Mus musculus: one gene and its partner. The protein of the gene in region 1 interacts with the protein of each later gene in a pairwise test. Links are inferred from orthologs where the notes say so. Each region holds a gene or a part of one and is shown on either strand. Other genes may lie near its edges. The genes, in order: Phyh and Pex7.

Region 1 (15,246 bases):
CAGGGAGAACAAAGGGGACAGACAGACAGTGCGGTTGTCCTAGGACCTCCACATGCATGAGTTGGAACCCACACACATAAACTGTGAACACGCAGAAGCTAGTCTAAACCTGTGTTACCATTGCATTCATGTAATGCAGCTTTTTGCACTTGATCTTAGCCAAAAGGCTGAGACGCAATATAATGTAGCTTTTTGTAAAATCATAAACAGAAGTATTATACCGAAAACGTTGAATGTCATCATCAGATACCAGATTCTTAATGACGAGAAACCCATTTTCTTCATAAAATTTTCTCTGCTCCAGGGTGAGGACATTATTATCCAGAGTATACCTAAAGAAAAAAAAAAAAAAAGAGCCTCCAAGTAAGTCCCCATTTTAAATTACAAGCTAGCAGTATACCTGAAAGAAAGAAAACTAAATTCAAGGCTTCAAAGCCCTAGCCAGAAGGTTTATTCAAGGCCCTAGTCAGAAGGTTTACAGACTTAAAGCCATAAAGATAAGAGAGTCGGGCGGGTGGACACAAAGGCTGTAAAGTCATCCCAGGAACCAACTAGCCACTGAGATAAAAAAAAAAAAAAAAAAAAAAAAAAGGCAAGGACAATCTCAGATGAGTAATGGGCTACCTGCTGATATGGTTTGAGCTTAGCCAGATGCCCTGCCAACCAAGATAAACACCCTCCATTTAGAGTTACTGTCACATACTGCTCACTGATGTTTAAACTGCCCACTTGTGTGTAACTGTGCCAATTTCCCCTATCCCCCCACTCCTTTCCTATATAAACCCCTAACTTTTGAGCCTTAGGGTCAACACCTCTGTCTCCTGCGTGAGATACGTGTAGCCCGGAGCTCCGTCATTAAACTACCTTGTGTGTTTACGTCAAGATGGTCTCTCTTGATTCTTTGGGTGCACGCTATCTCTTGACTCGGGTGGGGTTATCCCCACGGAGGTCTTTCATACCAAGAATCTGTCTTACTATCCAAATCTAACTGGCCTGGAACTTGCCAGGTAGGCAAGGCTAGCCTTGAACTCAGAGATCTGCCTGCTTCTGCTTCTTGAGTAAAGGGACCAGAGATATGTACTCCCACAGCCTGCCTGCATTTGTACTTTTCAACTCAACATTTCTATGTGTATTGCTTTAATGAAGTAGTGAGGACAAAGTTTAGAGTGTTAAGTCCAAAACATAGGTACAGTCACCAAAAATGTGTATTACTGAAAAAAATATTAACCAAGGAATTATATCTGTACAATAGATGTTAAAAATGAAGGGCAGAATACTGTGGGCATACTTATTATAATAGGATAAAAATCATATAAAACAAAATACAGAGGGAGAGGAAGGAGAGAGGGCATGTCAATGTCTGTAGCTGAGCAGTTGCAAAGCAGTTTTGTTTTAAAACAATGGTTGCCTTTCAGTAATGATTTAAAATTCTGAATTTTAAATTTTCTACAGTGTGAAGAGCCAGAGAACTGCCATGACAGTAGTGTGTGTAGCCAAAGTCATGAGAGCAGAGTGTGTAGCCAAAGTCATGGGAGCAGGGTGTGTAGCCAAGAGGAGCTCCTATCTTTGTTAAGTTTGTAAAGGGATTTTCTCAAGAGGCTTTGATGGCTGAAGTGCCTATAGGCTGGAGCTGCAGAAATAAACTTTGAGCCTTGACCAGAACACTGTCTTGGTTCCATTCTTCTATGGCCCACAGCCTTTTCATTCCCAGCGCTCCTTTCAGGTGACCCTGCTCGACCTTAAGCCACTGGATGGCTACAAATAAGCATTGTCTTTCAAATGGAAGATCAATTCAATGAAGTATATGTGATATGTATAAGATAAATATTTCTTAAGTTAGGGTCTCACTTTGTAGCAGTCTTGAACTTGGAACCTCCTGCCTTAGCAAAGTCTGGGATTCCAGGAACACACCACACCCAAATCATACATTTTAAGTAGTCTAGTCAGTACACTCTCAGAAGCAACCCACCCACTCCTTAAGGTTGGTGCTGTGGCTTTGTCTACGATATTCATGAAGGTTGGGTGCTCCCCTTAAAAACAAGGCAATACTCATGTCAGGTGCTGGACTACAGTTGTCTCAGCTGCTCAGGAGGCTGGAGAGTCCTAAGCTCAAGACCTGGTGAGACCTTGCTTCTTACACACAATCTCTCTCCATTGTGTTTTGTGTGTGTGTGTGTGTGTATCTGTCTGTCTGTCTCTGTCTCTGTGTCTTTCTTTCTGTGTCTCTTCATCTCTCTGACTCTCTTGTCTCTGTGTGTCTCTCTCTCTTTCAAAATGCTAGCCAATATGTCAATAACACCAATATAGAAGTAAAGTAACGTGACATGTGATGCTTGGATTTTTCAAGGGTAAAATTATGTATTTTCTTTCTCTCTCTTTCTCTTTTTTTTTAACTTCTTTTTGGATCTTAGCTATGTTAAGAAAACTTAGGTTCTCCATAGTTCCCCAAAGCAGTACTGGTAGACCATTTTCTGGAAGCAAAGTGTGTTCTACATGGATTCTAGTTGGGTAGCTTGCTGCATGTTATGTTACCTGGTTGTACAGTGGACATTCTATCCCAGCTACTACTAGAAAAACTTTTACAAGCTGTCTCAGTTAAGGTCAATATTGCTGAGCTGAAACACCATGACCAAAAGTGACTTGGGGAGGAAAGGGTTTATTTGGCTTACACTTCCACATCACTGTTCATTATTGAAGGAGCTCAGGGCAGAAACTCAAACAGGGTAGGAACCTGGAGGCAGGAGCTGATGCAGAGGCTATAGAGAGGTGCTGCTTACTGGCTTGCTCCCCATGGCTTTCTCAGCCTGCTCTCTTATAGAACTCAAGACTACCAGCCCAGAGATGGCCCCACCCACAATGGGCTGCTGGACCCTCCTCCATTAATCACTAATTAAGAAATCCACCAGATTGCCGACAGCCCAATTTTATAGAGGCATTTCTCAATCCAGATTCTTAGATGATTAACTCTTGTGTCAGGCTGCTGTAACACACTAGTCAGAACACATACACAGTGAAGTAACAGGCAAAAATGAGATCTACTTACTGGAATTGTTCAGGCTGGAAACTGGCAGGGGAAGCCAACCCTGATACAGGCTGGGCTACCTAGGGGAGAATTAAGGAAAAGAAAGAAGAAGGCAGGAGACAACCTTTTTGCCAAACACCAGCCACAAATCCCCCAGATTATACCTGTAGCTCCAGTCAGCCCCAGTCCCAGGGTTTCCTTGTGCTAAGCTACTGAGCAAATAAGATACCAAAGGTCACGCTTTAGAAGGGAGAGCACAGCTTGGGCCTCGTGTGACTGCAGGCTAAACTGGAAGGAGCTTGGACGTCATTAGGGCACAAAAAGTCCAAGCCACACCAGTGAAGTAAACACTGAACCGTCACTCAGTAACTACGGGTTAGGAACAGCCCTTTTCTGTTATCTTTTTTCTTTTTTTGGTTTTTCCGAGACAGGGTTTCTCTGTGTAGCCCTGGCTGTCCTGGACCTCACTCTGTAGACCGTGTGTTGCTGCTTTTGGAGTGTCAGTTCCACACAGGTGTGGGTGGAACCCAGCACTTGGGAGGCAAAGGGGGGGGGGGTTGAGTTTCATCAGCTTGGTCTACAGAGTGGGTTTCAGGCCAGTCAGGGCCACACAGTGAAAGCCTGTGGGTCTCAAACCCACCAAGAGACCCACAATGTCACTTCACATGAACTTGCCATCTACTCGTGTTCACTCATTTATTGAAACAGGATCTCACTGTGCACCTAAGGTAGGGCCTGGGTGTTTTATAGCCCATCTGATCTCAGTTTCTTCTGCCTTCATCTTCCAAGTGCTGGGGTTACAGGTGTGCATTGTCAGGCCTGGATTGCTTTTAATTAATTAATTGATTAATTGATTAATTAATTAATTAAGGCTTTATGACTTTTAGAGACAGAGAACATGCTACATGAGCTAGCCTTGAGCTTAATAATGTAGCCACGTATGATCTTGAACTGATCCTCCTGCCCCCCACTTACTTCCTGCCAGGTGAAATTATAGACAGGCACCACCATATGCGGTTTATTGTTTTTCTTGCTTTCTTTCTCTTCTGTTTTTTGTTGTTTTGTTTTGTCCTTTGTTTTTTTGGTTTTTTTTTTTTTTGTTTTTTGTTTTTTTTTGTCAGAATCCCACTACGTAGCCCTGGCTGACTGGGAACTTGATATGTAGACCAGGCTGATCTTGAACTCACAGAGACTGTCTGCCTCTGCTGAGATTAAAGGTGATTGCCAACTATCTATTATTTATTTACTTTTTTATTTACGTATTTAATGCATATTGGTGTTTTGCCTGCATGTATGTCTGTGTGAGAGTGTCAGGTCATTTGTTGCTGGATGACAGTTGTGAGCTGCCATGTGGTTGTTGGGATTTGAACCCAGGACACCTCTGAAAGAGTAGCCAGTGTGAAGAGCAGTCATTGCTCTTAACTGCTGAGCCACATCTCCAGCCTCACAATTCCCACTCTTGTTCAACTTTCCCAATATAGCATTGCCGCAAGGACATATAGACCTCAGTGCTCCAAACTGGTCACCTCGGCCCTTCTCCACTGTTTCTTGGACTTTGATGATGTGGGAGAAATGTTAAATGATATTGAAATATATGACAGAGATGGGGGTGTGGGTGGGGTAAAGTGAAAAGAGACGCAGAAGCTGTGACCCAGGATGACCCCAATTATGCAAATACAAAACATTCCTTGTTCCCTAATCCACACTGCTTTTTTTTTTTTTTGGACAGGGTTTCTCTGTGTAGCCCTGGTCGTCCTAGAACTCACTTACTTTGCAGACCAGGCTGGCCTTGAACTCAGAAATCCAATCCGCCTGCCTCTGCCTCCCAGATTCTGGGATTAAAGGCGTGTGCCACCACTGCCCAGCATCCACACTGCTTAGAAGCAAATTAAGGCTGAGGAGATACGGCCTCAATTTCTAGAACTCTACTTACATAATATATTCCCTATGGCTCTTGGTCAGCACTATCTAATATCCAATACTAGCTGCTAGCTACATCTGGCCATTTAAATTGAAAAATGATTCAAGTTAAAAGTGTATACTTTGCCGGGCGTGGTGGCGCACGCCTTTAATCCCAGCACTCCGGAGGCAGAGGCAGGTGAATTTCTCAGTTCGAGGCCAGCCTGGTCTACAGAGTGAGTTCCAGGACAGCCAGGGCTACACAGAGAAACCCTGTCTCGAAAAACAAAACAAAACAAAAAAAGTGTATACTTTAATCCCAGCACTTAAGAGGCAGAGGTGGTGGTCTCTGTGAGTTCTAAGCCAATCCAGTCTATAATAGCAAATTCCAGCTCGCCAGAGATGCGTGATAAGATTCTGTCTCAAAAATCAAGCAACCAATAAGATCCAAAGAGTAGTGAAGAGACTGCATCAATTTCAGTCCAAATACATCTAGTACCAGTATATCCAAGGTTCTCAAAATGTAGCAAACATCCAACTGCCAAGAAAAAACCAGACTGTGATATTCCATCCCTACATGGCCTGCAGGTCTAACCACTGCTTTAGTCCAATACACACTAATCAGGGTCTTTCCCCATTAGTTTCTCAGTGTAAAATGAAGTTACATTATTAGCCTGTAGAGTTTAAGCTTGAGGTAAGCCTGGCACACCGCTGCTTATAAACCAAAAGCCCCACAGGCAGAATAACAGGGAAGGCCAAATAAACAACTATTATGATCAGCCTCGGAGGTGGCAGGCACTGAAAACCCTAAACCATTCATTTTTAGCAATTTCTAGGGCGAGGGGCCAACAGTTTGATGCTTCCTCCCATCCCCCAAGAGTCTGAGTGTATGCATGTATGTGTTTGTGTGTGATGTGTGTGTACACACACGTGTTCGTGTGCATAACTGCTTCCAAGCCTTGGTTTAGTGTTTTGTTTTGCTTTTTAGACCGTCTGTCACTTTTGGCCAGGATGGCTGGCCATTAAGATCCTCAAGTCTGCCGGACGGACGGTGGTGGCACGAACCTTTAATCCCAGCACTTGGGAGGCAGAGGCAGGCGGATTTCTGAGTTCGAGGCCAGCCTGGTCTACAAAGTGAGTTCCAGGACAGCCAGGGCTATACAGAGAAACCCTGTCTCGAAAAACCAACCAACCAACCAACCAACCAACCAACCAACCAACCAACCAACCAACCCTCGAGTCTGCACCTGCACCTCCCAGGGGGATCACAAGCATTTATCACCAGGCACTCGCTTCTGAAGTCGCTTTCCGGGAACCAGTTCAGTCCTCAGGAGACTGGGGACACCTGGCCCCTGGAGTGGGAGCTTACACAGCTAGTGGGATGGTGACAGACAGAGGGCAGGTGGAGATGGGCAGCTAGCTACCTGCTGGACAGGGTCCTGAGCCTTCTCTTTTTGGCGACTGGCGCCTCCTCCTGACCTCTGAGAATCCCTGCCTCTGCCGGCCTTGGTCACAGGCAAGCACCTGTGGGCAACTGTCCTTGGTGTTTCTGGATGCAGAAGTCAACTCAAAAAATGGCAAGCCTCTTTGTGATGACGTCGTCACCTTTCGCTTTATGCTTCCCGCTTTACACCAGCAAGAAACCACGGTTTCTTGAAGGCTCAAAATGCTGCCTAGAGAAGTCCCACCAGAGAGCCCTTCCAGAAGACGAGGGCTCTCTGGGGATGCAGCCTCCACCCGGGAACCCTAGGGATGGAGACAGGGAAGAGATGGCGGCGCAGAGGCTCTCTTATGTCCTTGAAGCCACCACCAGGGCGGAGAGGCTCCTTCGAGCCTGTGAGCCCTTCCACAGCCCAAAGGATACAATCGTTGGGGCCGAGGGTCGGCCGAGGTGTCCCAGAAGGACCTGCAGCCGGGCGCCGGCGCGCGTAAGATTCATGGTGGGGGCCAGCAGACGAAACTGCTGCGCCCAGGTCACACTTAACTTACGGCAAGGCCCCGCCTCCTAGTAGAGGGTGGAGTTCTGTCCAAGGGCAGGACACAGCGCCACCTCCCCCAGGCTGGGGGTTGGGGAGCTGGGGATGAGGGAGCGAGCCTAGGCTGTCTGGAGTCCTTGCTCCCCGCCGCTGTGTCTTTGTTCTAATCTGCAAGGTCCGAAATTTTGCGACTGGGGTGATGCAAGCCGAGCAGCCCGAGGCCGTTAGGGATCTGAGCCACCCTTTTAACTTGGTAGTTTTAATCTATGAACAACTAATCTATGTGACTAGTTCTCCCACTAAAAATTAAAATCATCTGTGTTATTCAGAAGAGACATTAAATTTAGCGTGAATTCATCCTAAAATATTAGAAAGTTTGGCTGTTAGTTTTTAAGAAGAGCGATCCACACGGTCTAGGATAACTTACATTACATTTTTGTGTGTGGTGGTGGTAGTGGTGATGGGGTGTGGTGTGTGTGTGTGTGTGTGTGTGTGTGTGTGTGTGTATGTATGTATGTATGTTTGCATCCTTGTTTGTGGAGATCAGAGAAATAATCTTCAGGGAAGTTGAGTCTCTTTCCACCACCTGAGTTTTGGGGATCGAACTCTGATGGTCAGGTTTGTTCAGCAAGCTCCCTTAACCACTGTGTATCTCACCAGCCAGTATAACATGTAAAATTTCTTATGTAGCTAAAAACTGTTTTCTTTAATCCCAGCACTTGGGAGGCGGAGGCAGGGGGATTTCTGAGTTCGAGGCCAGCCTGGTCTACAAAGTGAGTTCCTGGACCACCAGGGCTACACAGAGAAACCCTGTCTCGAAAAAGCAAACCAAACCAAACCAAACCAAACCCAAAACAAAACAAAACTGTTTTCCTAAAGTCTTTGAAATTCAACCACTACACATAATCTCAATCTCTTTGTCTCTCGGTCTCTTAAGAGAGTTACTTCTAGATTGCTTCTAGTTACTCCATAAACATGTTATTGTTTCTTAAATGCTTTCATTAGATAATTTGGTGACAGTGCCATAGTCCAGGAGAGACAAGCAAGTAACCAGCTGGCTACTTCCTGTTTTCAGGTTGCAGAGATTTGCCCTTTGTGCCTTGACCTTTAGGACGAGATTCGCTTAGCTGAAGCTCCCAGGGCCGGCTTGGTCATTTGCTTATCTCCCAACCTCATCTGTCCAGCCTGAGCAACCTGGTGGAAGCCTGACCATGTCCTGAGAGACCGGCTTAATTAGCCCACAGTTTAAAAGCAGGACTGACTGCATTCCCCCCCCACCCCCCACTTGGGAAATAGGTGTGTTCTTACTGCCCTCACCTGGTGCAAAATGGGAACTGCAGGGAGAAGGAAGAAAACAAAACTGAAATTAGTCTGAATTTGGGTCACCTCAAGCAGAATTGAAAGATTAAGACCGTCATTCTGAGGATGACTGGTTTCCCTAAAAAACAGAGAGAATTATGGCTTTGGGGCCTGTCTTAGGGTTTCTATTGCCGCCATGACCATGACCAAAAAAGGAAGTTGGAGAGGAAAGGGTGCATTCGGCTTACATTTTTACTGATCTGTTCCTCATTAAAGGAAGTCAGGACAGGAACTCAAACAGGGCAAGATCCTGGAGGTGGGAGCTGAAGCAGAGAACATGACAGGTGCTGCTTAACTGGGCTCGTTCTCCATAGCTTGTTCAGCCTCTGCTTTCTTCTAGAACCTAGGACCACCAACCCAGGCCACCAGCCCAGGGATAGCACCACCCACCATGCCCTGGGCCTTCCCCATCAATCACTAGTTAAGAAAATGCCTAACATCTGGACCTTCTTGAGGCGTTTTCTCCTTGAGATTCCCTCCTGTCAGCTAACTTTAATCTGTCTTAAACTGACATAAGACCAGCACAGGATGAGAGATTGTGGCACTCAAGATAGAATTTCCTCCTGGCTCTGTGTGTAACGTTTCCTAACCTGTATTTTTGTTTGTTTGTTTGTTTGTCTTGTGGTAACTGAGCTTAGAACCCAGAATCCCCCATAAGAGGCAAGCACACTAACAGTAAGCTATCACACACAATAAAACAAAAATAAAAATAATAAGCAGATAAAGCAAAGGAAATGATTTCATAGCCAATCCTGAAAGAATGATAGATGATATCTGCAGTCCTAGATTCTCTCTCCTGATTTTCTCTAAAGCCCAGGTCATTTCTGAGCTCATCCTGCTAACGAGCTGCTCTTCGCAAGCGGCCACCATGTGCTCATCTAGGGGTTCTGTCTCACTGCATTCTATCCCATGCAATCCTCTGCGTGCGGCCATGTGGAGTAGGCCCGCAGTGGCTTCCTCTCCCTCCTTTTCTGACTGACCTTCCCTCTCCTGAGATCTGTAGTCAGTCCTTTTACATCTTCGTTCTGTGAAAACCAGCTTTCTCAGTCACCTCCTCCAGCCTCAGACTTTAAACTTCAGCCTTCAGGAGAAGATCTCAGATTTGTAACCCTATCTTGGAATGTTAAACTCCAGACTATGTGTCCAAAGACCTCTCTCTGTGTCTCTCTGTGTCTCTGTTTTTCTCTCTGCTTTTTTTTTTTTTTTTTTTTTTTCACTTTGCAACAGAGTTCCCTGGAACTCATTCTATAGATCAGGCTGGCCTTGAACTCAGAGCTCCACTTGCCTCTGCCTCCCAAGTGCTGGGGTCAAAGGTGAAGACCATCACCACCCTCCTTTGTGGGGGATGTGGAGGTCAACCTTGTGAAGGAAAAAGTGGAATGGAGAGAGAAGCGCCACAGGATCGAAGAGCCCTGATCTGCTGTACTTGGGATTTGATCTAAGATGGCTCCCGGAACACCTGTGAGACAGCAAAATGGAACACGGGCCAGATGGTGGCTGCCCCGCCTCTTCACAGAAGTCCTAACAGGTGATGACACTCCCCGCCCCCCCCCCCCCTTTTGAGTGACCTTATTAGGCAGGGCTTTCATTGGGGCATGGTGATGGTATGGCAAGACACAATTGGCTGAGGATTTAAGGGCCTGGCTCACTGTATGTAAGCTTATGCACAATAAACTCACATCTGCACCCTGACGCTGCTCTCTGGAGTTTGAGTCCCAGGATTTATGGCAGGACTCTGTCACCTCTCACCCCTCATCCTGAGCTCTCTTTCCAGATTCTTTCCCCACTGAGATTTATATAAAGAATAAATCCATTTTCCCTCCCAGCCTCTGATCAGGAGTGAAGCTCTGAGACTAGTTATTTATTAAGAAATGCCTAGGCCACTATCGTTGGCTCATTCCCTGACTAGCTCAAAACTTATTTAACCATTCAAACTGCTCTCTGTCTGCCACATGCTTAGTCACCTGTCCTCAGCTTTCTGTCCAAGTCTGGGGCATCCTCTTCATCCTAAAGTGAGGGCAGCTACCCGCTGGTTTATGTTCGTCTCCCCAGCGCTCCTGGGGAAATCTCTCCTGTTACTCCATCCTGAGTTCATCTGGGTGACTTGTTACCTCTGCTCAGATCTCATGCTTCTTGAGTTCATCTGGGTGACTTGTTACCTCTGCTCAGATCTCATGCTTCTTGAGTTCATCTGGGTGACTTGTTACCTCTGCTCAGATCTCATGCTTCTTGAGTTCATCTGGGTGACTTGTTACCTCTGCTCAGGTCTCATGCTTCTGCCTCCTCAGTGGTCCCTGGCAAATCTCCCTTTATTTTACCCTGAGTTCATCTACCTTCCTGTTAGTTACCTATTACCTCTCCTTCAGTTCTGACTGCTTTTTCCCTACTGGCCTCCTTCAGGGTCCTCCCTAGCATCTCTCTTGAATCTCCCTTTAGTCTCTATTTCCCAGAACCTCTCTCTTCCTGCCAGTGTCCCACCTCCCATTATTCTGCCTCAGCTCATTGGCCATAGGCTTTTTTATTGACAGGTGATGCTTCTAAGAGATTCTCTCTACAAAAATGTCTAACACATCAGAAGGAAACCTCTTGCTCTCTCTTTCTCTGTAGGTGCTGGGAATTGAACCTGAGTCTTCTATGAGAGTAGCCAATGCTCTTAACCACTCAGCTATCTCTCTACCTCCACCACTTTTGAGACAAGATCTTCATGAAGCACAGGTAGGTCTTGAATTCATTATAAAGTTGAAGATGACCTTGAACTCCTGATTTTCCTGCTTCCCCCTCCCACGTCCTGAAATTACAGGCACACACCATCCTATCCAGTCCCAGGCTTTTTGGGTTTTTTTTTGTTTGTTTGTTTCTTTTTGTTTTTTTTTAAATATTTATTTGTTGGTCTGTTTTATGTATATGAGTACACTGTAGCTGTCTTCAGACACACATCAGAAGAGGGCATCAAATCCCATTACAGATGGTTGTGAGCCACCATGTGGTTGCTGGGAATTGAACTCAGGCCCTCTGGAAGAGCAGTCAGTGCTCTTACCCACTGAGCCATCTCTCCAGCCCAAGGCTTATGTTTCTTATGCTTCTCCCCCAGAGGTGGCACTATATTAGGAAACAGGGTGTGGGGCCTAGCTGGAGGTGAGCCCTTGGGGATATACTATCTGTCTTAGTTAGGGTTTTATTGCTGTGAAGAGACATTACCATGTATCCCTGATAAAGGAAATCATTTACTTGGGGCTGGCTTACATTCTCAGAGGCATATTCCATTATCATCATTGCGGGACTGTGGGTGTAGGGGAAAAAGGGGAATGGGAGAAAACCCACATCCCACCAGAGTTCCAGTGCTCTGAGTGGGCAGACACGGGAGGACTGTGCATGCTTTCCGTGTGGCCCAAGGTGGGCACCTGTGTCAAGCCACTTACCCCACACAGCGGGTTGTGGACAAGGGGCAACTCCAGGTACCAGGTTCTCAGCCTCTGGCATCCCACGCTGAATCTGGCGAAGGAGCAGAGAACAGAATAGGGGCCCAGGGGGCAGCACTTGGCCCAGAGATAAGGGAAGAGAGGGCAGAGTTAGAGGGGGGCACTGAGTGGCTCCCACACAGGCAAGAGTCCTTAGTCCAGTCTGTGGCTGCAGTGTAGGAAGGCCTTCTGGCGGGAGGTTAGACTCAGCTTGTTAGGAGAAAGCCTATCCCCATTGTTCAAGCTCAGCGGGCCTTGATGAACAGAGACGGTCCATGGTTTTAGAGCTTTATTGTAGAAAAGCAGGGAGAAAGGAGAGAAAGTAAAAAGAGAGAGAGACAGGCCATGGTCACATGGAGAGAGAGAGAGAGGGAGAGAGAGAGGTTATCTAATAATCAGAGTAAGAGAGGTAAAAGCTTAGAGAGAGAAAGGAGGGGCCAAGCAGACCCTCTTATAGTGGGCTGGCTATCTTGCTGTTGCTAGGTAACTGTGGGAAGGAGTCTAGCCAGAATGCCAGAAGCTTGGAACATTGTCTACGTGACTGATAGCCACAAGCCTCTCTTGAGAGGGGGGGGGGGGCTATGGGGGCGGTAACTTCGACAGGAACCAGGGGTCCAGGAGACATGATCGAATGCCTTCTGTCCCATGTAGGTGGAATTTACCACCCACCAGGTCCCACCTCAAGACCCGGGGTTCAAGACCTTAGCTGGACTGGAGACCAGGCTGTCTGTGCATAGCCCATTGCCCCACACATCATGGAGGAAAGCATGGCAGGGTGTGGGCAGACTTGGTGTGGAGGGACTGAGAAATCTACATCTTGATCCACAGGCAGCAGGAGGGGACCGTGTGCCACATTGGGTATTGCTTGTACATAGGAAAGTTCAAAGCCTACCCCTATAGGACACACTTCCTCCAACAAGGTCACACTACCCAATCATTTCAAACACCTAAGTCTATGGGGGCCATACTTATTCAAAGTGCCACACTACCTACCCATGGTCTCTACCTGTCCTGCTATCTACCTCGGATCTTCCAAGAAGTGAAGAACACCTTCCTCAACTGATCTAACAGGAACTGTGATATTCTGCCTAATAGAATGAGACCAATTTCTAAACAGGTCCACTTCTTTTCCACTGCCTCTGCTGGGTGGTGGGCTAGAAGGGAGGTTAAAGCATTTAAGAACCATCATCGAAAGCAGGTCTGAAAAATCTCAGCTATGGATGCATTCTTCATAGTGTAAGGCAGGAAATTTAAGTTTGATCCCTAGACCAAGTTGGAGCCAAGAAAGAAAAATAGTTGGGCCCTGAAGCAGCCTGTTCCAGGAATTGGCTGACCACAAAAGTTAGATTAAAATCTTGAGAAGCAGGGAATTTCCCCTTGTGATTTTTAGTTCCACCTTGTGATTTTTCACTGGCATTTTTGATTTTTCCAATAACACCCTCCCTACACCCTTGGGTTATTTTTTTTTTAATACCCCCTTTCCCAGAGTCGGCCCCAGCGTGCTGGTTCCTATCAATAAACCTCGTGTGATTGCAGCAAGGACGGTCTCTCCTGAGTTCTTGGGGGGTCATGTCATCCTGAGACTTGAGTGAGGGTCCCCCCTCTTTGGGGGTCTTTAGTCGATGTTCCTATAGGAATCAGCTCTTATAGCACACAGTCCCTGGCAAACCAGTTCATTTAAGCTGCACTCTATAAACTCAGATGTGTGCCTTTCCAAATATGGGCTGATCGAGAATGGACTATGTTGTGCACAGCTCTGCAGTCAGGCTGACAGATAGGTCTGCAAAACTCCAGGACCTATGTCACCAGCCTCAGTTTACACTTCTATCTGGGTCTTGGTTCCAATTAGACAAGAGACTGTAAGATACAAGGAATACTTCTGCTGCATAAAATTACAGAAGAGTTCAGCATCTGCAGTAATTGCCACAGCTGAAATACCAACATGGCAGTCATGGGTATGGCTTGAATGTGAAATATCCCCTATAGGCTCCCGTGTGAGCACCCGATGTTGGATCCCTATAAATTGCGAGTGCTCGGCCAAAAACCATGCTCATGCTTAGCCTAAACATCAGTCAGTTCTGGCATTCTGGCTAAGAACTACTTAAAAAAAAAACAAAACTTCAAAAGAAAAATTAAAATCTTTTTATTCTTAATTGTGTGTATGTCCAGTCGAAAAGGATTAGGAAATAGCAAGAAATGGTCAGATCAAATCAGGATCAAATGTCAGCAGGACAAACATTAAACCCAGCTCGGTGCCCAGGATTGGAGCATGTGCAGTTAAAATGCAAGCTCCAACCCCAGCAGCTTTGCTGGTGGTGATCCACATGGTCCCTTTTCGGTGGGCTCTACTCCCTGCTTGCAGCTTTCCTTGGGGTCTCCACTGAAGCCCCAGCTTCCATCCCAGAGCTTCAGACATCACGCCTGCCTGGGAACTGCCTGGAAGGTTTCTTACCCTGATGTAGTTTCCTGGCCTCCCAGGTCTTTGAAATCTAGTTGAAAGCTGTTCTACCCTTAACAATCCAAGACATTTCCTCTGCACATTGCAAAACCACAACATGAAGGATGCTGAGGTTTTCTTGAGTTGCAGCCTGGAACCTTGGTACTAGGGCTGCAGGGACCTCAGATTTCCAGAATGGCTGAAGGTAGAGGGAAACACTTTTCTTGGGGGTGGGGGAGGCATAAGCTAAAATGTCTTCACCTTTGGGGCTTCAGCCAATTCCTGAGATATCCTTATGGCATCTTCATTCAAAGAATGCTCTGGGTTCTGCTGTGACAAACACCATGGATGAAAAGCAGCTTGGGGGGAGGAATGCATTTTTTTTCAGCTTCTGTCCCATTCATCACTGAGGGAAATCAGGGCGGGAGCCATGTTAGCATCAGGTATGCTCATTCATTTCTTTCAGCCATTTTCCTTTCACATCCCAGGACCACTGCCTTGAGGGCTGCATATGGAGGAACATATGGATGATCTGAATAAAGACATTGTAACTGGAACTGGAGAGCTGGCTCAGCCATTAAGAGCACTGGCTGCTCTACCAGAGGTCCTAAGTTCAATTTCCAGCAACCACATAGTGGCTCGTAACCATCTGTAATGGGATCTGATGCCCTCTTCTGGTGTGTCTGAAGACAGTGACAGTGTACATACATACATGAAATAAGTAAGCCTTAAAAAAAAAAAAAAAGAAGGATGTTGTATACTGGTAAATTTTTACCCACTCCCACTAACCACATCAGCAATTCACTTATGCAAGTGTCTCTTCCAATGATGTGTGCATGCATGCAGTTACTAGTAATAATATATATATATATATGCATATATAGGATATATATATGTATCCATATATAAAACAAAAGGAAAGGTGGTAAAACAGACATTTCTAGTACCTGTTCTGGTTTTAATTTCTTCATAAGAATGTTTTTATGCTTACATTTTCAGAGTTTTCGGGACTCTCGAGTGGTGTAAAACACTGGAAGCAGACGCACTGGGCTGGATGGACTTGCAGAAGATGGATGGAGGTCAGTGAGGTTTACA
Region 2 (15,271 bases), on another chromosome or scaffold:
AGCAGAGCACATACATATGTAAGCAAAGAAAGTGTAAACAGAAAGCTGAAGAAAGTGGTTACTTCTAGCAAGAAGGAAGGATGAAAGGGAGATGGACGGATTATAAAGAGGTAATCAGGGACTCCAGAGCATAAGTAATGCCTTATTTCTTAAGCCACATGGTAAATATTCAAGTGTCCAATGTACCATTTTTACATCTTACATATATGTATAAAAATTTCCAACCATACAAGTTAGCAATGCCTTCCTACAGATCTCAAGGGGCAAATGCTAAGTGGTCAAGCCATGCTTCCTCTGTCCTTGCCTTCCTGGCACTTTGCTTCACCTCTCACACTGCTGCTATCTTTTCTGCCTAGTTCTGCATTCATACTCTCCCTCAGAATCAAGCATGCTCACCCTGCCCCGTCCCAGTCAAGGGTCTGCTCACCGGCAGCACTGTGTCCACTCAGCCCTTGCCGTGGCCTCTCTCCCTAGAGCAATCAAGAACCCAGGATACACTGCAGACCTGCTCGTTTTCCCAGCTGGGCCAAGCACAGAAGCTCACTCTCAGCAGAGCTAAGGGAGGCTTTTGGAATGCATAACAAGCTGGGTGAAAGACACATCTTGATCTTTGTGTGCTGACCATTTCCAGTGTTTCTTCTCCGTTTCCAGTTTCCCCCTCCATGACCACTGGAAGAATGAACACTGAAAACTGTCTAATTAAATACAAAGAAACATCATGCAATACCTGGCTAGTTTCAAAAGCAGGGTCCTATAGATGAAATTATTCTTGGCACTAAATAAAAGTAATTGGAAAAATAAGAGAGAGAAAAACAAATAAAAAAAACATTGACAATATTTTGTGCCACTTTGGCAAAGCTGTACTTCATCAAAACCAGTTTGAGCAGATATATTTTATAACAGAAACCGACTCCCAAAGAGCCTGTGTTATCTGCCCTAAAGTAGTGCCCTTTTGTGAGGTGATCTACTTAAACAGAAATAGTCAAATAGACACTTGCTCTGAATTTTCACTTAACCCGCACGAACACAAAGAGACAATGATCCTCAAGCCCAGTGATTAGAAAGGACTCTTGCTCTTACTGTAGGAAACCCGTAAACCCTTTTCACTGCGGAGACTTATGAAGTTAAAGCAATGGTTTTCCAAACAATTTTACACACTGGAGTCATCTAGTACTCTAAAATAACCTTGAAAACTTGCCCCAGACCCGAGACATTGTAACCTAAGCATGAAAAAAGGTGAATGCATCTTAGATAATGCTAATGTTCACAAAGTTTGAGAACATTGCGATAAAACAAATATTATGCATACTTTTCTCATTTTAAATTTGGAGATTTCAAATTTCTGTGTTGTAGTCTAGCCCTAACAGCTACCACCTGAAGCAGGTCAACTGAGAATGTAATCTGCTTCTGTAGCTGGTAGCCGTTAGACAGGAGTATACTATACATGGAGCCTACTGGGAAATGACCCACACTGTTTCCCAACTTCCTCTCCCACCAATGTACCACACATAATGCATGCTCCAATCATACCATCTGATTCTGTTTGTTTGCATGACCCCAAACTACTGGAGATTAACATGTAAGTCTCATACATGCCTAGTGCACAGTATGTGCTACCACATAGGCATGTCTACTGCTCTTAATTCAAGTACAGGTTTTAAAATACTACATGGTGCTCCTTTAATAATGGTGGCAGATAATATAACCTACTGGCAGTCAAATTCAAAGAAAAGTAACTAGCACATTTCTAACAAGAAGGTAGTTTTCTACATAGTCAAAGAGCTTTAAATTGCCATTTTAAAGTATACTAAAATATACCTGCAGTAATCTACTCTAAAATAAAATAAATGGTTGATTGCACCTTAACATGCAAAAGGAAATACATTTGCTGATTTTTCCCCTATAATTATTACAACCCTTTAAAAGAAAAGAAGAGAGGCTGAGTGTGGCTCGGCAGCAGAGTGTTTCCCTGGCAGGCACAGAGCACTGGGGCTATCACCAGCATCACCAAAAATGGAAAAAAAGAAAAAAGTACCTTTGGTAGAGAAATCTTTCATGGTATTTTAAGTATAAATGTATCTCTAAATGGCCCATACTAATGTCAAATATATGGTAATCATTGTATATTAATATTTTATTGGTATTCATCAAAGGGTATATTATTAATTCATATTTAAAAGACAAGACATAAATCATTCAGCACATTATTACTATAAAATAAATAAATACACTTTCTCTGTGACAGAATAGGAACATGGCACTTGAAAACTACACATCTGCAAGAAGAAAAAACAATTCCAAGCTGGGGTCGTAGATCAATTAGTAGAGCACCTCTGCCTAGTACAGACGAGGCTCTGGGCCATGATTGCCCTTCCCAGCACCACATACACTGGGCATGCCCAGACAGACCTGCAATCCTAGCATTCAGGAGTCACAGGCATGAGGATGAGAAGTTCAAGGCCATCCCTGGCTACATCAGGAACTGGAAGCTAGCCAGGACCAAAGTGTCAGACAGAAAGGAGAGCAGGAGAAAGAAGTGGGAAAGAGTAACTCTGCAAATGGAGAAACCTTGCTACTCAGTGAGGAGAACAAATGTAGAGTGTTTATGAGTAGCCTAGCTAAGTGGAAATGAGACACTGGAGTAAACAGCGCTGACTCTGTACCCGCCTCACAGCCTCTCTGCTTTGTCCCAGTCACACAGCGCCGCGCCAAGTCCTGAAGCAGAAACATCATCTGAGTTCTCAGTCCACCTCCCCGGGGGGGCCTTGTTGTTTGTTTTCTGTTGTGTAGTTGTTGTTGTCCTTGATGACTTTGCAGTCTGTCTTATTCTTCCTGACTGGGGCTTAAAAGATGCAGTGGCCTCTGCAGACACCAATTAGACAACACAGAGAAGAATCTGACTCCTGCTTTGATGTTAAGTTTGGCCGCAAGCACCTGTACCCATCAAGTCACCTCACCCACCACCCCTTGATGTTAATTAAGTTGGTTTCTTTTTTCTTTGATTCCACCAAGACCGTCAATCCCAGAGCCTAAAACTGATCTAAATCCTGGATTTCTCCTTTATGTTCTGAGGAAATTCAAAAAAATCATCAGATACCACTACAAAAGCCTATGCTCAACAAAACTGGAAAATCTGGATGAAATGGACAATTTTCTAGACAGACACCAAATACCAAAGTTAAATCAGGATGAGATAAACCCTCTAAACAGCCCCATAACCCCTAAAGAAATAGAAGCAGTCATTAAAAGTCTCCCAACCAAACAAAGCCCAGGACCAGATGGGTTTAGTGCAGAATTCTATCAGATCTTCAAAGAAGACCTAATACCAACTCTACTCAAACTATTCCACAAAATAGAAACAGAAGGAACACTATGCAATTCGTTCTATGAAGCCACAGTTAAGCTGATACCAAAGCCACACAAAAACCCAACAATGAAAGAGAACTTTAGACCAATTTCCCTTATGAATATCAATGTAAAAATACTCAATATAATTACCAAAAACTGAAACAAAACAAAAATTAAATGTGATTTTTTTTCAATGTCTTCTCAGTTCCTTTAAGGGAACCAAACATTTTATATTAAAGTAGTATTTTAAATGATTTATTTTAAGATTCAGAAATGTGTCTAAATATATATTTTTCACTTATAACTGTAAAGCTGGAATGCAGTTTTCAGTTATGATGAAGAGCCTTGAGAAGGAATGAACAGGTTGACAAACCCACAATCTTTGGTGCTGCATCCGAAGCACGCCTTGTTCACCTCGGGACATTGCTTCAGGGCTTGGACCAAACTTCTTGCTCTGAAAGGTAATGGGTGCTGAAGCTGAGACTCCTGCACTAGGACTACCTGGATGCTGAGCGGTTTGTTTAGGAAACACCCTGTCTGGTGGGAGTAGGAGCTGCGTCCCTCCCAATCAGAGTTGAGGATGCTGAAGAAGGATACATTGCCTTCAGGTGGACGTAGAGCTCGGGATTATTTGGTCTTCAGGGCTCAACTGAGAATGTCAGAGGCAGAAGTCTACATTTTTCCCCACTACATATGTACCCAAAGAAGTCCCCAATAGCTACAACAGGAGGGAGCCAGGAGCCCATGTTTGTTAGACGCCATCTCAACGACAAAGCCCCACTTTCTCTGAAATGAACAGAGTGACAATTCCTATTTCCCAATCTCGAGAGACAGCCGTGTACTCCTGATCCTGTGGCACTCTGACCTTGGACTCAGCTTCTAGAACTGGGACAGACTTCTGTTATCTACGAGCTACTCAGCCTATACTGCTTTGTAGGCAGCCAATGGGCTTTCTTGGATTACCACATACCCTGGGACTAATCACAGAAACTCTGCCTCTGAATAGCAGCCCACAATAAGACGGAAGTCAGCATCAACACACGAGGGTGCACTGAGACAAACATCTGAAAGGCAGTTAGTTCACATGAACAAGCTTACCAGTAAAATAACAACAACCACAATAGCAATCAAACAGAAAAACCTGTCAAAGTCACTTTTAACTAAAGCCAAAGCATCCTGATGCAGATGTTTATCAAGAGTTGCCTTTGAGGAATCTAGACAGATGGCTCAGTGAGTAAGACTGCTTTCTGCAGCAGCATGAGAATAAGAGTCCAAGCTAATCCCCAGGAGCCTCATGAAAAGGCCAAGTGTTACTGTGCATCTATAGTACGGCACTGTCCAGAACAGAGACGAGAGGCCAGAAGAGCTTCCTGGCTGCTAGGTTAGCTCTGAGTTTGGTGAGACAACTCGTCTCAAAGAAATAAGGAGGAGCCTGATAGAAAAGGAAACCTGCATCCCCTATAGCCTCTGAGCACACAAACACACAACATACATGCTGCCCCATACACAGGTGCAAGCACATAGGTGCACACGTACAACACACACAGATGCCCCCACACAAATATAATCCAAATAAACCAGCATTAAAATTTTATGTTTGAGAAGAAAACAATCTAGAATAGTACACACATGACAAAGTTTGTCTTCAGCACAGCACATATTCAAAGCTTCAGAGAATAATGTATGAAACAAGAATTTGTTGCTAAAGAAAGCAGATTTGAGCACGAGAGAAGCCATTTTTCTGACCATGATTAGTACAATCTAAAAGTCAAATAACTAATTCCAGAAATAGAAAAATTCATAAAGGTCAGCCATCAGGGACATTGCAAACAGAATTTCCTAGAGAATATAAAGAGACCACTAGGTATATGAAAATGATATATGCATTAATTACATATCTACTTAACATATGTTAAAAACAAATACATATCTAGGAATCTTGACTATTACAAACAAATAAATGTATACAGCTGTGAATCTGATGGCTCGTGACTAAACAAACAAATGCATGCAGCTGTGAATCCCATGCCTTGTGCTTATTACAAATAAATGTATATAGCTGTGAGTCTAATGGCTCAGACTGTTACTTTTAGAGGTGATGTAGCAACTGAAGGTAACTTAAAGGAAACCATTAAAGCAGCACCCCACTTCCATTGCCCAGTGATTTTTCCAAAACCATGGTAATTTACAACCATATTATTCAAGGAGCCATCCCAACACAATAAAGTAATTTTATTTTTAGAACTAATTATAGAACTATTGAGTTTTTTAAAATAGTTATAACTATACAATGTTATCTAGGATACTCACATCACTCAGTTTTTTTTTAAACAAAACAATAATGACCTTCCATGTAATGAACACTTGTTAAAGGCCTGAGATGAGGCAGGCATAAAGGTAGGTAAAAGCTAGAAAGCAATCTGTAAGTCGTCACTGAAGGCTCTATTGCTAAGGTATAAAACCAAGAAAGAATGTCTTCATCACATTCCTTAAAACATATGCATGCATTTTGGTATTTCCAAAGTATAAACTAGTTCCTGCGCCTCATATTACACACACACACACACACACACACACACACACACAGAGTCCAGATGACACAAAAGTCATATTTAGATTTACGTTTAAATTTGCTTTAGGGGGCTGGAGTGATGGCTCAGCAGTTAGGCATGCATACTGCTCTTGCAGAACACCTGAGCAGTTCCCAACACCCACACCAGGCAGCTCGCAAACGCCTGTAACTAGTTCTCTGGGGAAACCCAGTAATTCCAGCTTGCATGAGTGTCTGAACTCACTCTTGTGCACGTGTGCGCACACACAGTCACACATACAAATTTACAAACACTAAATCTTTATTTTCTTTTAGTGAACTCAGCCTCCTAGTTGGTACTTGATGCCGCTGTTGGAATACATTGAGTCTTACTGAAGCCTGCAGACAATCGTGAGAGAGCCTGCGAACAGCCCGCCCACCCTCTCCTGAGGCACTGCGTGTAGGCGTGTTCATAGGGCATAAGGAAGGCTGAGGCCCTCTGGAGGGAAGGATGCCACCGTGCCTGCTAGAGGCACTGCTGTTGCCTAATGAGAAGCCTGACCTTTTCTTGTCTTGTCTTAGGCTAAGAAGTACTTTATGTTTGAATAACAGAATAATAAGTGACATCTACTATGAATAAGAAACATTAAAGCTTAACCTTGTCCCCTGAAAGCATTTCCCTGTGTTCATCCCAAAGAGATTTCAAACAAACAATAAGGGAAGCCATCATCATACCTCCTGCGTGTGCTCTTTATAGACTTGGAGAGGGCCTGTGGCTTTGGCAGTGTCCCAGAGCTGCAGTGAGCCATCACCACTACAGGTGACAAGGACATGCTCATTGTTTTCACTCCAGGTAACGTCAAACAAGCCGTCATTCCAGTCAAAGCTACGCCAGAAAAGAAAATACATGCACTGCAGATCACAAAATGATTAACATCTTAATTTTATAGTTACTGTTTTTTTCCTTGTTTTTCACATATTGTAACACACATTACCTCAGATGATCTTGAAAACTACAAGAGATAAATAGAGCAGGTACTCCACAGTGGCCTGGAAGCACAGCCCAGGAAGGGCAGGTAGATAGCTCCAAAGTTAAACTGAAAGGAGGTTTCCAAACACTCATATGAGGTATCCACCAAAGACATGCTGACATCACCTGCTTTTATTGTAGTGCACCTGTGACTCACAGCATGCACTTGTGAGACTTTCAAAATACGGAGACCAATCATTTCAAATACTCCCACAAATCTTTCTTCATCTGAGCTACGAGCAGGTAGTGGCTTTCTACAGAATCTCTTTCCTCTGCCTTTGACTAATCCTGATAGAAGTAGCGTGTGTCCATCACTCAACCTGGAAGACAGGTCCAGAGAGAAACACTGGGCAGTCCACAGGATGAGCGCTAGCTCTTGCTTAAGGAAACTAAATTACTAAGACGCTCACTGTTTTACGTTTTAAATGTATAATTTATAAGCAGACACTAGTAAGCTTGAGAACATGGCATAATCATAGTTAGCAAAAATAATTTCTATATGATGCCAATGTAAAAGTTTATTTTACATCATAAATTAAAAACCTATTAGTTCCAAATATTCAAAATGCAACTGCATTAAGACTTTGACAGAGGTTGACTGTATATGTACACTTAATAATTAGAGCCATTATAATGGTTTGAGGAGAATGGCCACCACAGGCTCTTAGGTTTGAATACTCAGTCCCTAGGTGATACAAGTATTTGGGAAGGATTTAGGAGATGTGGTATTGCTGGAAGAAGTGTGCCACTGGGGCCAGGCTCTGGGACTTCAAAAGACTTGCCCCATTCCCAGAGTGGATCTCTCTGCCTCCCATCTGTGGCTCAAGATGTGAGCTCTCAGCTGTTCCTGTAGCCATGACTTTGCTCCACCATTATAGACTCTGACCCTGACCCACTAAGATTATAAGCCTAAAGTAACTACTTTCTTTTGTAAGTTGCCTTAATCTTGATGCCTTATCACAGCACCAGAAATGTCAATCACTTTACCTTCTAAAAATCTGAAGTCCAGATTCATTTTGATCCAATACTAATAGAGTTCCACAGCCTAGAAGAAATACAAAACAAAACAAAGCCCTAAGTCATGTTGTTTAACCTCCTGGGAGTCATCTATGATGAAATCTTAAACATTGTGGACCAGCTTTAACTACCACAAATTTCCCATAAAATAACTGCAACCGTATATACAGAACAATTAAAAGTTACATAGTATGCTTCAGTCCTTAAATATCCAACTTACCATCTGGCCAGACTGGAATCGGAACACCAGTCTGGGGAAACGCATCAGAGTGCCAACTCACACCGGGCCTGGTGCTAGGCACGCAAACCTTTCAAGCTGGAGCTAATAACAGAAGACAAGGAAGGCTTGTGCTTACAAACCCCCAAGACTGTGGTTCTCCCCTGCTGATACACGCAGAACACACCAATCACAGCATTTTAAGACAGTATATGTGGAAATACCATATACTCGTTGGTCAGGTGTTGAAAACAACATTAACTTCAGTTATGTGCCAACAATCAATAATTTTTGCTGAAAGACTAATGTCTCTTTCTCTCCCCCATCTCACACTCCATTAACATCTGTTCAAAGGGAATCTGCACTTGAACTTTACAAGGTAAGATGACTAATTACTATGCTCACATGCACATTCAACTGTTCAAACTAGAGTCTTCACAGAATTTCGCTTTGAGTTTTTGTGATCAGTGAGGTGGGTAAAGTGTTAAAGATCTTCCACTTAAACGTAACTGATGAAGAAGAAAAAAAAAAGTCAACTGTCAGGTCAGAGACCCGACCCCTTCCATGTGCAGAGCCAGCTTCTAATCCCAGTACCCACTTGGCAGCTGACAACCATCAGTAATGGATCCAACACCCTCTTTGAATCTTCTCTTCTGACCTTAGCTGGCACCAGGCATGGTTCACAGACATACATACAAGCAAAAAACTCAGACACACACACAAAAAATCTCTAGAAAACAATTCCTAATTATACCAATTTCTTGTAAGAAACCTTTATAAAAGTCTAAAGTTTGATGGCCAAGAACTGTGAACCCAACCGTGAAAGCACTAAGCACTAATGGACAAACTATACGGAAACAAGTTTATTTACCACTACTTTTCAGAAATCGTATTTTTTTCCTGCAGTAAACAAGTATTACAGATCACTGACATTATGCAATGGTTTGCCATACACTGCTCCTGTGCATAAACAGCAGATGGGGTATAAGTTAAAATAAATGGCTTGAGCACTTAGACATCTCTGCACATTTATCCACTTCCCCTAGAACAACTAAAAGCGAGCACAGAATTTTCTAGTTTTTTTTTTTTTCTTTTTCAAGAAAGGGCCAGCGTCTCCCTAAGTCTCTGTTGAGGATGGCTTTGAACTGGTGGCTCTGTTGACTCCACCTTGCAAGTACTGACAAGTGCATCCTTCTTACAGAAGGGAAAGGACTAGCTGTAGACTTCCCCTGGGCTCCAATGCCAACTCCGCAGAAAGGGGGACCTAGGAGGGAGGGCCGAGCTCTGTCGCCCCCTGGCGGTGGCGGCGGCACCGCGCGCTCAGCGGCGCGTCCTACGCCCGCCCCGGAGGCGCGGCCCGCGCTCACCCGCGATGCCGTAGTGCTGCGCCGCGGCACAGGCCAGGCGGCCCGGCAGGTACGGAGAGAACTCGGCCGCATAGCCGTGGCGGCCGGGCACCCGCAGCGTCCGCGCCGCGCTCATTCCGCTCGCCCGCCGTCACTCGGCCTCCCGGCCCGAGCGCGGAAACAGTCTCGAGGTAGAAGTGCCCCACTGCGGCTCACTGAAAGTCCAGGAAGGCCGGGCGGAAGTGACGACGCCGACGCCCGGAATCCTAGATTTTGATTGGGCTACATAGAAAAGGGAACTGACGCCGCGAGGACCATTTTTCTTTTGGGCAAAAATCCAATGATTTGCTCTAACTAAAATCAACTGGTCTTTCAGAGATTATTCTAGACCTAAAAGAGAAGATACTCGCTAGGAGTCACTTCAGACAGTTGTTCACGTTTAATTGCAACCTCCATGTTTTTTTTTTAAATAAAAACCTTGTGTTTTTATTAATTGCTTGAACTTTAAAACTTTGCTATTCTGACATTTTCCTGATGGTTACGAAATAAAAGCCACAACAAACTCGGAAAGCAGTTAGTGAGTCCAAGGGCAACGAATGGAGTACTAGGTTGCCCAAGGTAATTTGAATCCAGACAACAATGAAGTTAAAGGATAGGACTATTATCATGTGCAATTTGCGGTCTATAGGTTTTATGTAGTTAGTTGCACTATGCAGATATATTCCAGTAATTAAGGAAGACTTGGGCTCATTAATTTCTTCATTCAAATGTTTGCCAAGCATATGCAATGTGGTAGATGAATGTGCAGTTTGCCAAACCAAACACTGAAGAGTGAAAGAGACTTGTTAATCATTAAACCAGTCAACCTGCACAGACCAAGTCATGTACCAAGCTTGGTGCTAGACTTTTGCATTCAAAAGACCCACTGGGATACGTGGTTGAGCTCAAGAGATTACAAGACTTGAAAGCTGTCAAGTGTAATCAAAATGCTATTGATGCTGTGATGAATATACACAGATGTTTTTAGGGTAGGGTGTCAGGGAACATTTTAGAAAGGAGATAATCTAGGGTGAATTCATACAAATGACTTTCTCTAACTAAAAAGTTGGAAGCCATTGTGGGATCAGGAGAAGGGTGAAGAACCCAGGAAACCTAAAACCGCAAGGGATGGTAGCTGCCAGGACTCAGTCTAGCCTGATAGAGAAAGAGCACTTTGGGTAGATTCCACCTGGTGAGAGAAAATCAAATGCTCCAACATGAACTCTTGTATTGTACCCCATGCCCAAGGAACTGTGCTGCAGCTTAAATAATAGAGATCTGTGCAAGTTTTCAGATATGGATCATTTAGTGAGTTATCATTCCCAAGCAACAGTAACTGGAGGCTAGAGATTGGCAATGGAGTACAGTTAGAGACTTTAGCAACAACTCAAGCAGAAGATGCTATAGTTGGGTAATAGTGTTTTGTTGAGAATTATGGAAAGGTGTGGAGAGGGTACGCTTAAGGGTCAAATGAAGACAAAAAGCTTAAATGGTTTCCAACTCTTAGTATAGTACTTATCTAGACACAGGAATTGTTTATTGAAATAAGGACAATGGAGCATTAATAAACTCCAGTTCTGCATGTTGACTGTGTACTGTGTGCAGTACTTGAATACAGCACAATGGAGTCCAGCCAAGCCTTCTTACTTGCATGTAGATAATATTTAAACCACGGAAATTATTTTTATTTAGCAAGAGAATGGAATGAGAGAAGACAGATAAAGGCAGATTTGGGGCAAACAGCCACATGGAAAGCTGGCAGTGGAGAAGCTATGGAAGGGAGAGAGATCCACAAGATGGGGACTGTAGACTCATTTATTACTTGGGGCTGGAGAGATGGCTCAGTGGGTAAGAGCAATGACTGTTCTTCCAGAGGCCCTGAGTTCAATTCCCAGCAACCACATGGTGGCTCACAACCATCTGTAATGAGGACTGATGCACTCTTCTGGTGTGTCTGAACACAGGGACAGTGTACTCACATATGTTCACATCACATAAAATAAATGTCTCTTAAAAAAATACTGCTCAAGCCAGGCATGGTAAATGAATGCCTTTAAACCCAGAATTTCGGAGACAGAGGCAGGTAGATCTCTGAGTTTGAAGCCAGCCTAGTCTACAGAGTGGCTGTCCTGGGGACAACCAGGGCTACAGAGAGAAACCCTGTCTCCAAAAACAAAACAACAAACAAACAAGAAGTATTTTTCAAGCTTGGAAGATTTGCACACTATTTTCAGATGTAGATTTAAATGCTTAGAAATTAGATTTGCATCAGGCAATGACACAACAGAGTTCTTATGGCTATGTAAGTATCTGTTTAGGGGCCTGGTATCTCTGTCCATAGCAGTACTAAATGCAGACTGGACAAAATATGGAAATTATTCCAATAACAGCAGATAACCTATGCAAATATTCTACCATTCAACTAGCTATAGCCCTGTGAAACTTTACAAGGGTGGAAGACAGGAGGATCACTGGTATTTAACTGGTCACCAGTCTAGCTCTGGGTAGCAGGGGAATAAGGTGGAGAGTGATAGAGAAGGGACATCTGATAGTCTTCTCTGGCCTCAGTGTGTACACCAAGATGGCTACCTGCACACAAATGCACATAAAGCACACACACACACACACACACACACACACACACACACACGCTACTCTGAGTGATTCTCATACGCTAACTACAGTACAAAGAATAAAAGCACATTTAGAGTAAAGTGTTCAGCTTTGTCAGGAACTTAGAAAATGGAAGCAGACACTGGACCTGTTAAAGGGATGGTATGCCCCAAAGCAATCCAGGATTCTGTGTCGGGAAGGCAGAGGGAGCATGCCCTCACACACACTAGGCAAACACACTACCAAGAGCTACAACCCAAGTCTCAGACTGAGTTTGCTAAGATAGTACATGCAGGGTATCACTTGGGCAATGGAAGGCCTGGGAATGATATGATATCTTCCTTCTGGAACCAGAAGATACCACCAGACCTGAATTCCTCACATGGCTCATTTTTAGTTATTGCCAGCTTTACTGCTTTAAGTTGAAATTTGAATTCCAGTGATATTTCATTTGTATTAGGCAATGAGTATGCTACATGTAATACTTGAGTTACCTTGGAAGTTTACAAGCATGGGAGGTATCTGCATGCCTGTTTGTTCCAGGAGCTTTACACTCAGGTAAACCTGAGGTCCAGTGCATGTGGTATCATTTCAATTACACTACCTGTGTGCTGTTATCAAGGGTGACACAAGATGGCTTACAAAATCCTGAATCGGTGTCAACATGAAGACCTCTGTTGCTCATGTTTGCAGACACTCGAAAGTTCAATTCCAAATTAAACTACTATTCTGATTAGATAAAGAGCAATTTGAGCTCATGAGTAAAAGAGCAACTGGCCCCTACTTTTCAAAAACAGAACAATTTTGTTTTGTTTTATTCTCTCTGCATATCCCTGGCTGTCCTGGAATGCTCTCTGTAGATCAGGTTGGCCTCAAACTCACAGAGAACCACCTGCCTCTGCCTCCAGAGTGCTGGGATTAAAAGCATGCATGGACATTGCTCAGCCGAGAACAATTTTTTTTTTAAAGAAAGTATGATGCATTAAAAAGTAACTCTGTTGGCAATGTTAAGTTAACTGAAAAGTTAGAGTCATGCAGACATATACTGTATGCCAACTTCTCTCGAGACTGGTATTCCTCTCTGTTAGCTTTCAGAGAAAAAACATTCAAGAACCTTAAAAATGAAATTAATTTCCTTTCTCCATCTCCCTAAGACAATTTGCCCCCAGATTTCGTCTGACCGGCTTCACTGTTGCTGGTTTGCTTTGAAGCTGACCCCAACCCAGGAATGGTCTTACCTTCCTGTCTCACAAGGAAACTCTGTCCTCTTAAGCTTCTCCATGAATCTGAACGCTTCCAGAAATTCCAACCAACTATAAAATCGAATTTCTGATTTTTTAAAAAGAATTCATCATAAGTCTATGAGAATTAAAATTGCTTTTCTTATTTTTCCTTTTTTTCAAGCCATAGATCGTCTCCTCTTTGTAGCAAATTTGATGAATAAAAATGTTTGTAAGATGACCAATATTAAGACAGCTTTATAGTGGAGAAAGCATGGCTGAGTAGCAGAAGACTCTGTGTTTTGAAAAAAGGCACTTGGACATTTGGGGTTGTGTTCTATTAAATGAGCATAGTGGGTCTAATCTTTTTTAAAAAATCTTTTTATTATAACTTTAAGGCTTCTTATAAGGAAAATCCACCATACTTGGAAGATATTTCTATTCAAACTAAGTCCAGCAGAGGGTAGCCAAGCTTTAGCCTGTGTTTCCGTCATGGCAGGGTAACATTTCCTGTCAGTGGAGGACCTGTCAGGGAATCTTAGTTAACAAAGCAAATGGTTGAAAAGTGTGCTCCCTGAGAGCTATAAAGCAATGTCCCCCAAAGTTAAAACTATCTTGACCTAAATTCATTTTCTTTTTAAAAATAGTATTTTTTAGATATTCATCCAAATATCAAGGATATATATTTTTATATAAATTTTTAAGAAAAAAATGCACATACATGGTAAATAAATATCTGGACAGTAAATAATGAGAAGTCTTTTCATGCCAGATCCTTTAAATTTGGGTTCTAATTTTCAAAAAAAAAAAAAACCTTTTATATATCCATGTATTCTGAAATTGAAGATTTAACCAATCTATGGAAAATATTTGAGGAACCAATTATGTTATCAACCATGTAGTGACATTTTTCTTCTTGCCTCTTTCTCCAGACAATACAATGTGTGGCAGGAAGTTCTCTGAAGACTCACATCTATTTTGCAGAGCCAGCAGGCCGCCGCTGGCTGTCTAAAACATTAGGATTTGCAGAGCAATGGACTATCCCACATCAAGCGCCAACGTCATCTTTGGCTAGCTTTTGTTCAATAACCCTTTACTATCAATATCTGTATCTGACTTAACATCAGTTTGAGTACTAGATAAAACCCTTGGAGAGTCTGGCTAAGCAGACAGAGCACCTCCTCCTGACTGTAGCCCAGCTAGGTGACTATCTTCTCCACTACATAGGGGGTTGGAGGCCAGACTGGGCTACCTGAGACTTTGTTTCAAACTTTTAAAAAGTTGCTTTCTAAGGGGAAAAAAAGTGAGTGAGTGAGTGAGTGAGTGAGTATGTGTGTGTGGCCTCCTGGTAAATAAAATCATAAAATGATTCAGTGAAGAAAAGAGGGAAATATGCCGCAGTTTCTCTAGGAAGAATGGAAACATTGGACGTCAAAATTGAACAAGACTTACTTACTAGTCCTTGTATTCTTTTATTACTTTTTAATTGTATACTACAAACAACTATAATAATCTTGGGTATTATTCCATATCAACCCATATTTTTATCATATACATTCTTAGCAACCCAGAAGGCTCCAAATTTACTTGAAGTGATATGGGCATATTTTTACCCAAAATAATATTGCTATGAACGGGCTTTGTAGTTAAGCAGATTCAGGTTTAAAAGCAGGATCCATCACTAGTCATCAGGACAATGTGGTCAGTGTTCCCCTTCAGCGTCCTTATCGTGCACGGATTTAATGATTAGTTCCTAAAACAAAGATGTAAAGAACCCAGGATTATGCTGGGCACAGAACATTCTGCCACATTGTCTTAACTTGTGATAAACTAGATTCTGCCCCTGTCCCCTATATCAAACCCGTGTACTAAAGCTCTAACTTCTCCATGTGACTGTATTTAGAGATGAGC

The links.
Region 2: the proteins of Phyh (region 1) and Pex7 interact in a two-hybrid assay, tested with the Homo sapiens proteins (2 studies listed by BioGRID, with this or other methods). The link is inferred for Mus musculus from reciprocal best matches to the Homo sapiens genes PHYH and PEX7.

What each region holds. Positions count from the first base shown.
Region 1 is NC_000068.7:4,910,684-4,925,929, reverse strand, and holds the start of Phyh (phytanoyl-CoA dioxygenase, peroxisomal precursor), read right to left. Parts: upstream 6,935-15,246; 5' UTR 6,861-6,934; coding exon 6,786-6,860; intron 3,103-6,785; coding exon 3,044-3,102; intron 333-3,043; coding exon 222-332; intron 1-221. UniProt on the Homo sapiens protein: Catalyzes the 2-hydroxylation of not only racemic phytanoyl-CoA and the isomers of 3-methylhexadecanoyl-CoA, but also a variety of other mono-branched 3-methylacyl-CoA esters (with a chain length of at least seven carbon atoms) and straight-chain acyl-CoA esters (with a chain length longer than four carbon atoms).
Region 2 is NC_000076.6:19,897,950-19,913,220, forward strand, and holds the start of Pex7 (peroxisomal biogenesis factor 7), read right to left. Parts: upstream 9,726-15,271; 5' UTR 9,625-9,725; coding exon 9,510-9,624; intron 7,954-9,509; coding exon 7,896-7,953; intron 6,765-7,895; coding exon 6,614-6,764; intron 1-6,613. UniProt on the Homo sapiens protein: Receptor required for the peroxisomal import of proteins containing a C-terminal PTS2-type peroxisomal targeting signal. Specifically binds to cargo proteins containing a PTS2 peroxisomal targeting signal in the cytosol.